2 linked regions of the Neurospora crassa OR74A genome follow. The protein of the gene in region 1 purifies or fractionates together with the protein of each later gene. This does not show direct contact. Links are inferred from orthologs where the notes say so. Each region holds a gene or a part of one and is shown in the gene's direction. Other genes may lie near its edges.

What was found.
Region 2: the proteins of ace-4 (region 1) and ace-2 purify together in Saccharomyces cerevisiae (affinity purification with mass spectrometry; 4 studies listed by BioGRID). This does not show direct contact. The link is inferred for Neurospora crassa OR74A from reciprocal best matches to the Saccharomyces cerevisiae genes LAT1 and PDA1.

Annotation. Positions count from the first base shown.
Region 1 is NC_026504.1:431,329-435,733, forward strand, and holds ace-4 (pyruvate dehydrogenase complex), read left to right. Parts: upstream 1-1,397; 5' UTR 1,398-1,909; coding exon 1,910-2,221; intron 2,222-2,526; coding exon 2,527-3,591; 3' UTR 3,592-4,189; downstream 4,190-4,405. UniProt on the Saccharomyces cerevisiae protein: The pyruvate dehydrogenase complex catalyzes the overall conversion of pyruvate to acetyl-CoA and CO(2).
Region 2 is NC_026503.1:1,563,029-1,567,599, reverse strand, and holds ace-2 (pyruvate dehydrogenase E1 component alpha subunit), read left to right. Parts: upstream 1-1,549; 5' UTR 1,550-1,998; coding exon 1,999-2,151; intron 2,152-2,586; coding exon 2,587-2,720; intron 2,721-2,862; coding exon 2,863-3,230; intron 3,231-3,290; coding exon 3,291-3,377; intron 3,378-3,435; coding exon 3,436-3,947; 3' UTR 3,948-4,389; downstream 4,390-4,571. Other genes in the region: NCU16634 (hypothetical protein), read left to right, coding at 98-571. UniProt on the Saccharomyces cerevisiae protein: The pyruvate dehydrogenase complex catalyzes the overall conversion of pyruvate to acetyl-CoA and CO(2).

The DNA of each region.
Region 1 (4,405 bases):
GCAAGCCTTCAATTGAAGAGTGGGTCCATCAAGACCCTGATGGCTGCAGTGAGTGTCGCGGGCACGGACCATTCCCGACCCTTCCACTTCCCTTCCTCTTCCATCAGGTACCTACACGTACCTACGTACCTCTCACTTTATCTCCGTACGTATCAATCTATCTGCCAGCCGCTTTGCCTGCCGGAACTGCAGCCGTGGATACTCTTTTTGACGCATGGGTCAGTAATTGGTCTGTTCATTGGTAGCCCGCCGCCGGCGTCAGCTTTTGAAGAATCCGATGATAGCCATTCAATCCCGTCTTCCATTGTAGATATGGATCCCATCTCTTTTGCGTATCAGTTGTCTTTGGACATATTGGACACCGGTGATCCATGACACGGCGTATTTCACATCCATCGGAGGGAAGCCAAACTGTAACTTGTGTTACTACCATAGGCTTGGAGTCTTGATGGTATGAATACCTCGTGGGAAGTTTAATCAATAACCAAGTCGTGTGCCTTTTCAGCTTCTACAACACGATCTCAGGGCAACTCGGATACGAAGCTCTTCAGAGGTTGGGAATATGACTGATGACGAGAGACCGTTGTTAGCTGCTCCTGATTGCTTGTACATACGAAAACTGAAATGTCATCACCAGTCCAATTTTGTCATTATATGCCATTCTGCAGCATCTCTCATGGATCGGGTCCCTTAGTTTGACATCACTGACACTGCAGAGTCCAATCCTCTTGGAGTTGACGGTTTCCATCGCAATCAAATCCTCCGATCGGCCCGCAGAACGTAATCCGTACCTTAGCGCGAACTGTTATGGATCCGTGCAGCTGCCAGTCCGATGTCCCTGTCAGCACTTCATCTCTCTCGAGGTTGTTCATCGGAGAACTGTTGAAGTCCGCATCTCACTTTGGTCCATAAGGTTACTTGATATTCAGGTCTTCATAACTCGCAAATACAGATAGCACCTCCATGCGCGCTGCTCATACATATAGATATTCAAACAAGATATCACTGCTCCAAAGCTAGGTTAGCTTGACAATTCCAGTTCGTGATTGCAACCTCTCTTATCAAGTAATCAATCATCCATCTGCCCCCATTAGGCTTAGCGTCATTTACTCCCCGTTGCGCGACCGGGGGATTCTCAAAGCTTGGCCTCCTGCTGTCTTTGGGCACCGGGCAGCTGCGAGGCCGTGCTAGCCCTGAAATAGCCTGGCCTTGGCTCGGCGGGGGCTCTGCTTACGCTGGAACTGCTGGGGGGAGCTTCCCCCAACTGTTGGGAGAAATCGCAGGGGGGCAGAGAGCAAGGAGCTGAGGGGACACAAGGCGGGCAGTGAGTGTGGTGAGTGTGGTTGGTGACGGGAAGTGAGAAAGTGTGATGCCACCGCCGCAGTGGAGAGAGAGGGAAAAAAAAAAAAAAAAAAAAAGTTCACGAGTGTCGCCGATTGAAGTCCGGCTCCGTATCCCGCCGCTGCCCGCTGTCATCTTCCTGTTGTGCTCTCCACGACGAATCCGTCATTCAGGTCGAATCTCATCTCGCGCAGTCTTCCATCTTTCCAAACCTGCAATCTTCCCGTTCTTTTTCCACTCTTTTTCCGCATCAACCTGACTCGCGCAGTCGACGACTTACACCTCCAGGCTTGGCCCTACTGCGAATCCGCGTCCATCAATCAGACATCCCGGCCTCCCTCCGCACAAGCCAGCTTCTCCAACCCGCGTCCCTCTGCCCCCCTCCCCCCCGGTCGGCCTTTCCCCTCTCCAAGGTCCTGCCGCCGCTGCCACTGCTGCTGAGTGCTGCTCCTCCAGCTTGGTTTGGAATCCCCACATAAACATTCCATACTAGCAAATTGAACACAACCTCCTCTCTCAAAAAAAACACCACCACAACCACCCAACCTTCACATCACACCCTCTCACCATGATCGTCCCCGTCCTCTCAAGGCAGGCTCTCCGCCATGCCAGCGTCGCCCGTGTCGCCCTCCCCAGCCTCACAAGATGGTACGCCTCGTACCCCCCTCACACCGTCGTCAAGATGCCCGCCCTCTCGCCCACCATGACCTCGGGCGGTATTGGCGCATGGCAGAAGAAGCCCGGTGACAAGATCGAGCCCGGTGAGGTGCTCGTCGAGATCGAGACCGACAAGGCCCAGATGGACTTTGAGTTCCAGGAGGAGGGTGTCCTCGCCAAGATCCTCAAGGACTCGGGCGAGAAGGACGTCGCCGTTGGCAACGTAAGTACCTACCTACACTACCTGTCGAGCCACGAGTCATCATACCTGCCAAACACTCCAGCCCTACCTACTCCAACTCCATGACTCCATGCACATCTCCTCCCATCCCGACCCTCTTCCCCACTCGACCCTGAATCCACTCTTCTTCCTTTATGCCTCGTGCGCGCCTCGTGCCCTGTGTCTCGCCTGTCGGGTGATATGTCATGGTGCCGTTGAGCGTCTACACGCCCCGCGTCGCCTTAGCTTGTGCGCGCCTAATGTAGACAGACGACCCATGCTGACCATGCTTCTTCCTCCTTCTCTAGCCCATTGCCATTCTCGTCGAGGAGGGCACCGACGTCAACGCCTTCAAGGACTTCACCCTCAAGGATGCCGGCGGCGAGACCTCCCCCGCTGTCCCCAAGGATGAGCCCAAGAACGAGAGCACCGCCAGCGCTCCGACCCCCGCTCCTACTCCCGCTCCCGAGCCCGAGAACACTAGCTTCACCGGCCGCTTCCAGACTGCCCTCGAGCGCGAGCCCAACGCTCTCCCCGCTGCCAAGAGACTCGCTCGCGAGAAGGGCATCGACCTGCGCAACGTCAAGGGCTCTGGTCCCGGTGGCAAGATCACTGAGGAGGATGTCAAGAAGGCTCTTGCTAGCGCTCCCGCTGCCGGTGCCGCCGCCGCTGCCTACACTGATGTCCCCATCTCTGGCATGCGCAAGACTATTGCCGCCCGCTTGAAGGAGTCTGTCACGGAGAACCCCCACTTCTTCGTTTCCACCAACCTCTCCGTCAGCAAGCTTCTCAAGCTCCGCCAGGCGCTCAACAGCTCTGCTGATGGCCGCTACAAGCTTTCGGTCAACGACTTCCTCATCAAGGCCATGGGTATTGCTTCCAAGCGCGTCCCTACCGTCAACAGCTCGTGGCGCGACGGTGTCATCCGCCAGTTCGAGACCGTCGACGTTTCCGTTGCCGTCGCCACCCCCAACGGCCTCATCACCCCCATTGTCAAGGGTGTCGAGGGCAAGGGTCTCGAGAGCATCTCGGCCGCCGTCAAGGAGCTCGCCAAGAAGGCCCGCGACGGCAAGCTCAAGCCCGAGGAGTACCAGGGTGGCAGCATCTCCATCTCCAACATGGGCATGAACCCCGCCGTCCAGAGCTTCACCGCCATCATCAACCCTCCCCAGGCCGCCATCCTTGCCGTTGGCGCCCCCCAGAAGGTTGCCGTCCCCGTTGAGAACGAGGATGGCACCACCGGTGTCTCTTGGGACGAGCAGATCATCGTCACTGCCAGCTTTGACCACAAGGTTGTCGATGGTGCTGTCGGTGCCGAGTGGATCCGCGAGTTGAAGAAGGTCATTGAGAACCCTCTCGAGCTCCTCCTTTAAACGCGAATAGCACTCTGTTTTGGATGACGTTCAGTGGAGTTATACGGATCGAGCGACTGCAAACTAGATAGCAGTCACTTGGCCCCAAGTTCACGGCAGGCCGGCGCATGAGATTTTATAGAAATGGGCAGGCATTGGAAGGATGGATGAATGGATGGGAGGAAGAGAGGTGATGGAATGACAATGTCAGTCAGTTGGTTGACAAAAAAGCGAGCTGATGCTACAAAAGCTTTTGGGAGGTTCCATTCAGTGTCATGTTTGTGTTCTCTCTCAACCACCATATGTATAATGATTCGATCCCACTTTTTATAAGCAAAAACTTGAGCATGAGGTGTGCGGGAAATACAGGAAATCTTTGTTTCTTTTTCGTTTGTTAGAGTTGAGTTCAGCCCCGGCATCGGTTAGGCAACTTGAGGACTTTTGGATACAGGATTTGGGAATGGCACCCCAATCTGTTTGTCCATTTCTAGCCAAATATGTGGTCGAAGCTGCCATGTTTTGGCAAACCTGCTGCTTGGCTGAGGATACCAATTTTAATTTTGGATATCAGTATTTGGACAGATTCTGCTTTGGCAAAGCGAGGAAAGGTCCTGACCAGGGGGCATCATAAGTGTGATGCCAAGATAATGGGCGGCGGCCGCTGGTGTTGATGAACAACGAGGTGTCAGACTGTCAACTTCCAGACCGACCGCGGCAGACGGCACCAGTTGACTTTCTGCTTATGGCCAAGCGGCCGGATGAGATTGACCTTCGTCTGCTCCTTCCCTGAGAGCATACTGGAATGTTATCAAGGCTGAGTAACAAAGTGGAAGAG
Region 2 (4,571 bases), on another chromosome or scaffold:
ATGTGACGGCAACACCCATGATCACTAAGCGCGGAAACTTTGCAGGGAGCATTGCTATGGCGTTGACACACACACACACTCACACCCACACACACACATGAAGGTTTTCAAAGCACACCCACACGCATTCGGACAGGCAGACAACGGACCAGCATTCATATTTTTTCTTTTATTTTTTGCGTCTTCTCTCTTGTTCTTTATATCTATATCAGAAACGCACGCAGCTGGACAGACAGACGGACAGACGGACAGACAGACGGGACAGAGGAGAGAGTCCATCAAGAAGCGGATGAGCAACTCGGCATTGGATGTGGTCACGGTACAAATACACTTCGTTCAGGAACTCTACACTACTATATTGCGAGACACTGTACTACACTACGGCAACCGGGACTATGAAAGACATACACATGCCATCGGTCCACAATGCCTTATATCTTATACCTGTTTTGCATTTGTTCACTCCCTCAACGTATGCATATCGTATGTTTTATCCCAAGATAGGATACTAAACCCACTTGTCTATAAATACCCGGGGGAAGAGGACGGGAGACTTGTAGCGATAGGTTAATGGCAGATATCCTCGATGGTTTGTCTTATGCTGGGCTTTATGCTTTTGTGGTTATGTTGTCTGTCATCAGGACGGTTGTGATACTTTTCTTGTTGATAATGTTCATAATGAAGATATCGCCGAATTGGATTAAAAGTGCCCTTGCCCTATATACGCAGAATCCTTCAAGGCCATGTTCGGTCAGATGTTGATTACGGTTACCTGCATGCCACGCCTGTCGTCTAAACTGTAGTGGTAAGAAAACTGATAAGCAATTATTCCCGATCGAGGTTAGGTAGGGTTCGTGAGGCAAGTGGAAAGCGGCGGCTGTTGGGTGGGGCATTCCGGAATGTCAAACTCCATTTTTGATGGGGTTCACAATGGAGTCGATGGGATGGCGGCATAGTACTGAGTGCCGCCCGCTGTGATAACTGGTCATAGTGGTGACGGTGGTGGTGGTGTCTTTGGAAGCGAACAAGGAGAAGGACGAAAACGAACAAGAGCGAGTCTTTCATTCAGTTCACCTCGTCCGTGACGAAATCATCGAGACCCTTGGCTGTACAACTCGTGGGCGGCAAACGAGGGTCTTATATAATTTGTCATGGAGGTAAGCTCGAATGGAGATCTCCAACAAACTTTCCTTCCCCCACCTGATCCATGCAATGCCAAACTCAGTTAGCGCGTGCTACCCAAGCTTCTGCCTCTGCTCAACACTCGTTCGCCTCGCCCCTCTGACTGTGGACTTTTTTTTTTTGGACGTTCCTTGCCCCTTCCCCTCCATTCTCCTCCAAAAGCTCATGGACCGCGACGGGGAGATCCATAATAATTTTTTCTGACAGCCCTGACAGCGTCAAAACGAGCTCCGGAGAACGGCCGGCATACCGGTACACGTACCGTTTGTGGGAGTTTCCTATCGCGTTAGTACCTGCCCGCCTTGACAAGCTTTTCTAGTAGCAGTGGACAGAGAGCTCTTGTAACTCTGTAAGGTAGGTAAGTAAGCAGTGACAGTACACCTAGCTGGGGGATCTCCATGCCAGAAAAAAAAATCCCCCGGGCCACAGCGTAACACACATATCCGACGATACCCTATCCGTGCTGGTGCCCTGTCTGTGAGCGCCGCCCGGCGTATCTCCAATTGAAGAGTTCGTTCCCTGACGTGCTGCGCCTGCTAGGTGCTGCACACCTGCCCTGGCTGCCCGCACCCAGTCCTGCCGTACCGGGCGCCCTGGCTCGCCTACCTACCCCATCGGAGCCCATCAATTCGCGACCCTTCCACACTCCCGTCCCAAGGATTTTCAGTTTGCCAGTTTGCTTTTGCTCGTCGACTCGTCCTTCATTCTCGTCCTCTCTCCGCTTCCACTCCTGTCGTCATCCACCCCCCCAAACTCTTTCAATCTCTCAGCTGCCATCGTATTTCCCAGCGAGACGAGAGAGACAGATAATCCAGAATGTTTTCTCGCGCAGCCCGGTTATCGACGAGGGTAGCGGCGCCCGTCCGCGCCCGCGTTGCTGCTCCCCGTGTCGTTATTCCCTCGATCGCCGCTAGGAGGTCCGTCACCACCAATGCTGCTTCGGCCCAGCTCGAGAAGCCCCTCCCAGAGGTACGTTTGTTTACTGTTGATGTCGGGATGTCGTTCGAAGTGGGTTTCGATGGTGGTATTGTGTGTGTTGGAGAAACAAAAGAAGACTGGAGGGAGGGAGAGACTCCCTAGTCATGTCCCCTCCCCGAGTCCCCCAAGCAACGCTCGTCGCGAGTCAAGCAAGTCATGTCCCATGCGAGTCTGTCTACCTTACCGCTTGCTGCCGGACCCGCCGGACCCGCCTTGATTCTCTTGACGTCAAGTCAATAGAAAACACCAGATGAACACCGTTTGTTTTGGTGGTTTCGAAACATATCATGTCGTCGCCGTCGTTGTCGTCGTTGGGGGCTGGGTTGTGCAGATTTTTGCGCGCAATCCAAAGACTGTTACTTGTCGCTACTACAACTACTCCTGGGAACGTCGATAAGCTTACCATGCAATTTTGCTTCAATCTAGTCGGAGACCGAGCCCTTCCAGGTCACCCTCAGCGATGAGAGCTTCGAGACCTACGAGCTCGACCCCCCTCCCTACACCCTCAATGTCACCAAGAAGGAGCTGAAGCAGATGTACTACGACATGGTCGTCGTCAGGTATGCAAAGACTACAATCCCCCTTGTCCTCACCGGGGGGCTCTAAGCTTCCCCCCTCCTATCTCTGCCGATCTCGGCCTGGAGGATCAACATGGCTTCACCACATAGCATATAGCTAACACATTGCTCTCTCTGCATATAGACAAATGGAGATGGCCGCCGACAGACTGTACAAGGAGAAGAAGATTCGTGGTTTCTGCCATTTGTCCGTTGGTCAGGAGGCTGTCGCCGTCGGTATCGAGCATGCGATCGAGAGAGCTGACGACGTCATCACCTCGTACCGTTGCCACGGCTTCGCCTACATGCGCGGCGGTACCGTTCGCTCCATCATTGGCGAGCTTCTCGGTCGCCGTGGCGGTATTGCCTACGGCAAGGGTGGTTCCATGCACATGTTCACCAAGGGCTTCTACGGCGGTAACGGTATCGTCGGTGCGCAGGTCGCCGTCGGTGCTGGTCTTGCTTTCGCCCACAAGTACACTGGCCGCAAGAACGCTTCCATCATCCTCTACGGTAAGCCTTTTCTTGGTGGGAACAACGTTGGGGGTTCGGAAGGCTAATACATTGTTATAGGTGATGGTGCCAGCAACCAGGGTCAGGTCTTTGAGTCTTTCAACATGGCCAAGCTCTGGAACCTCCCTGCCCTTTTCGGCTGCGAGAGTAAGTAGCCCAGGTTTCATGGTCTTAGATACTCTTACTGACATGTATGATGGTGCAGACAACAAGTATGGTATGGGTACCTCTGCCGCCCGCTCGTCGGCCTTGACCGACTACTACAAGCGTGGCCAGTACATCCCCGGTCTCAAGGTCAACGGCATGGACGTCCTTGCCGTCAAGGCTGCCGTCGCGTACGGTAAGCAGTGGACCAACAACGACAACGGCCCTCTCGTGCTCGAGTACGTCACCTACCGCTATGGTGGTCACTCCATGTCCGACCCCGGCACCACCTACCGTACCCGTGAGGAGATCCAGCGCATGCGCTCCACCAACGACCCTATTGCCGGCCTCAAGCAGCACATTCTCGAGTGGGGTGTTGCCTCGGAGGAGGAGCTCAAGAACCTCGACAAGGAGGCTCGCGCCTACGTCAACGAGGAGGTTGCCGCCGCCGAGGCCATGCCTCCTCCGGAGGCCAACCAGCAGATTCTGTTTGAGGACATCTACGTCAAGGGTACCGAGCCCGACTTCATCCGTGGCCGTACCCCTGATGAGCTTTTCTACTTCAAGCACTAAAAAAGTTAAAATTGAGTAGAGAGGCAGAAGTAATGACAAACTAGATGGGTTTTTTCAAGTTACAACCAAGAAACTTGTCCTTTCCTCTGATGCATATCACAAAACCAAAAATGGTGCTGGCGTCTTTTATCTACGTCGGCCATCATGGACGGTCGTCACTTCTTCTTTCCATTTTCCTTGTATAATAAAACATTTCTGCGTAGCGCAAAACAGTCACAAACACAACCACACACACAAACACATATATATATATATATATCTAGACAGGTTTTAGGGGAAAGGGATGGGGAAAGGGAAGGCGGGTTATGAAATTGATAAGCTTTCAAGATAGCTGTCTTGTTATGATGCAACAGCTGAATGACTGGGCTTGTGAGATGAGGTCCGATATCGTATCGCAGCCTGCCCCTCCCTGCCCAGCCTCGAATTGCCAGCCCTGTCTGTCGTATCAAATCGGGTTCTCAGCCCAACATTTTTGAGCTGTTGGAGATTTGGAGATCAAATTGATGGGCGGTGCTTGGCGCTTACGTTGCGACGGTAGGCGCTACCCCAAATTTCGCCCGCACAGCAAGGGGTCCCTGACTGCTGTCACCCGTGCGCACAATAGTAGGGACTATTGCTTTAGTG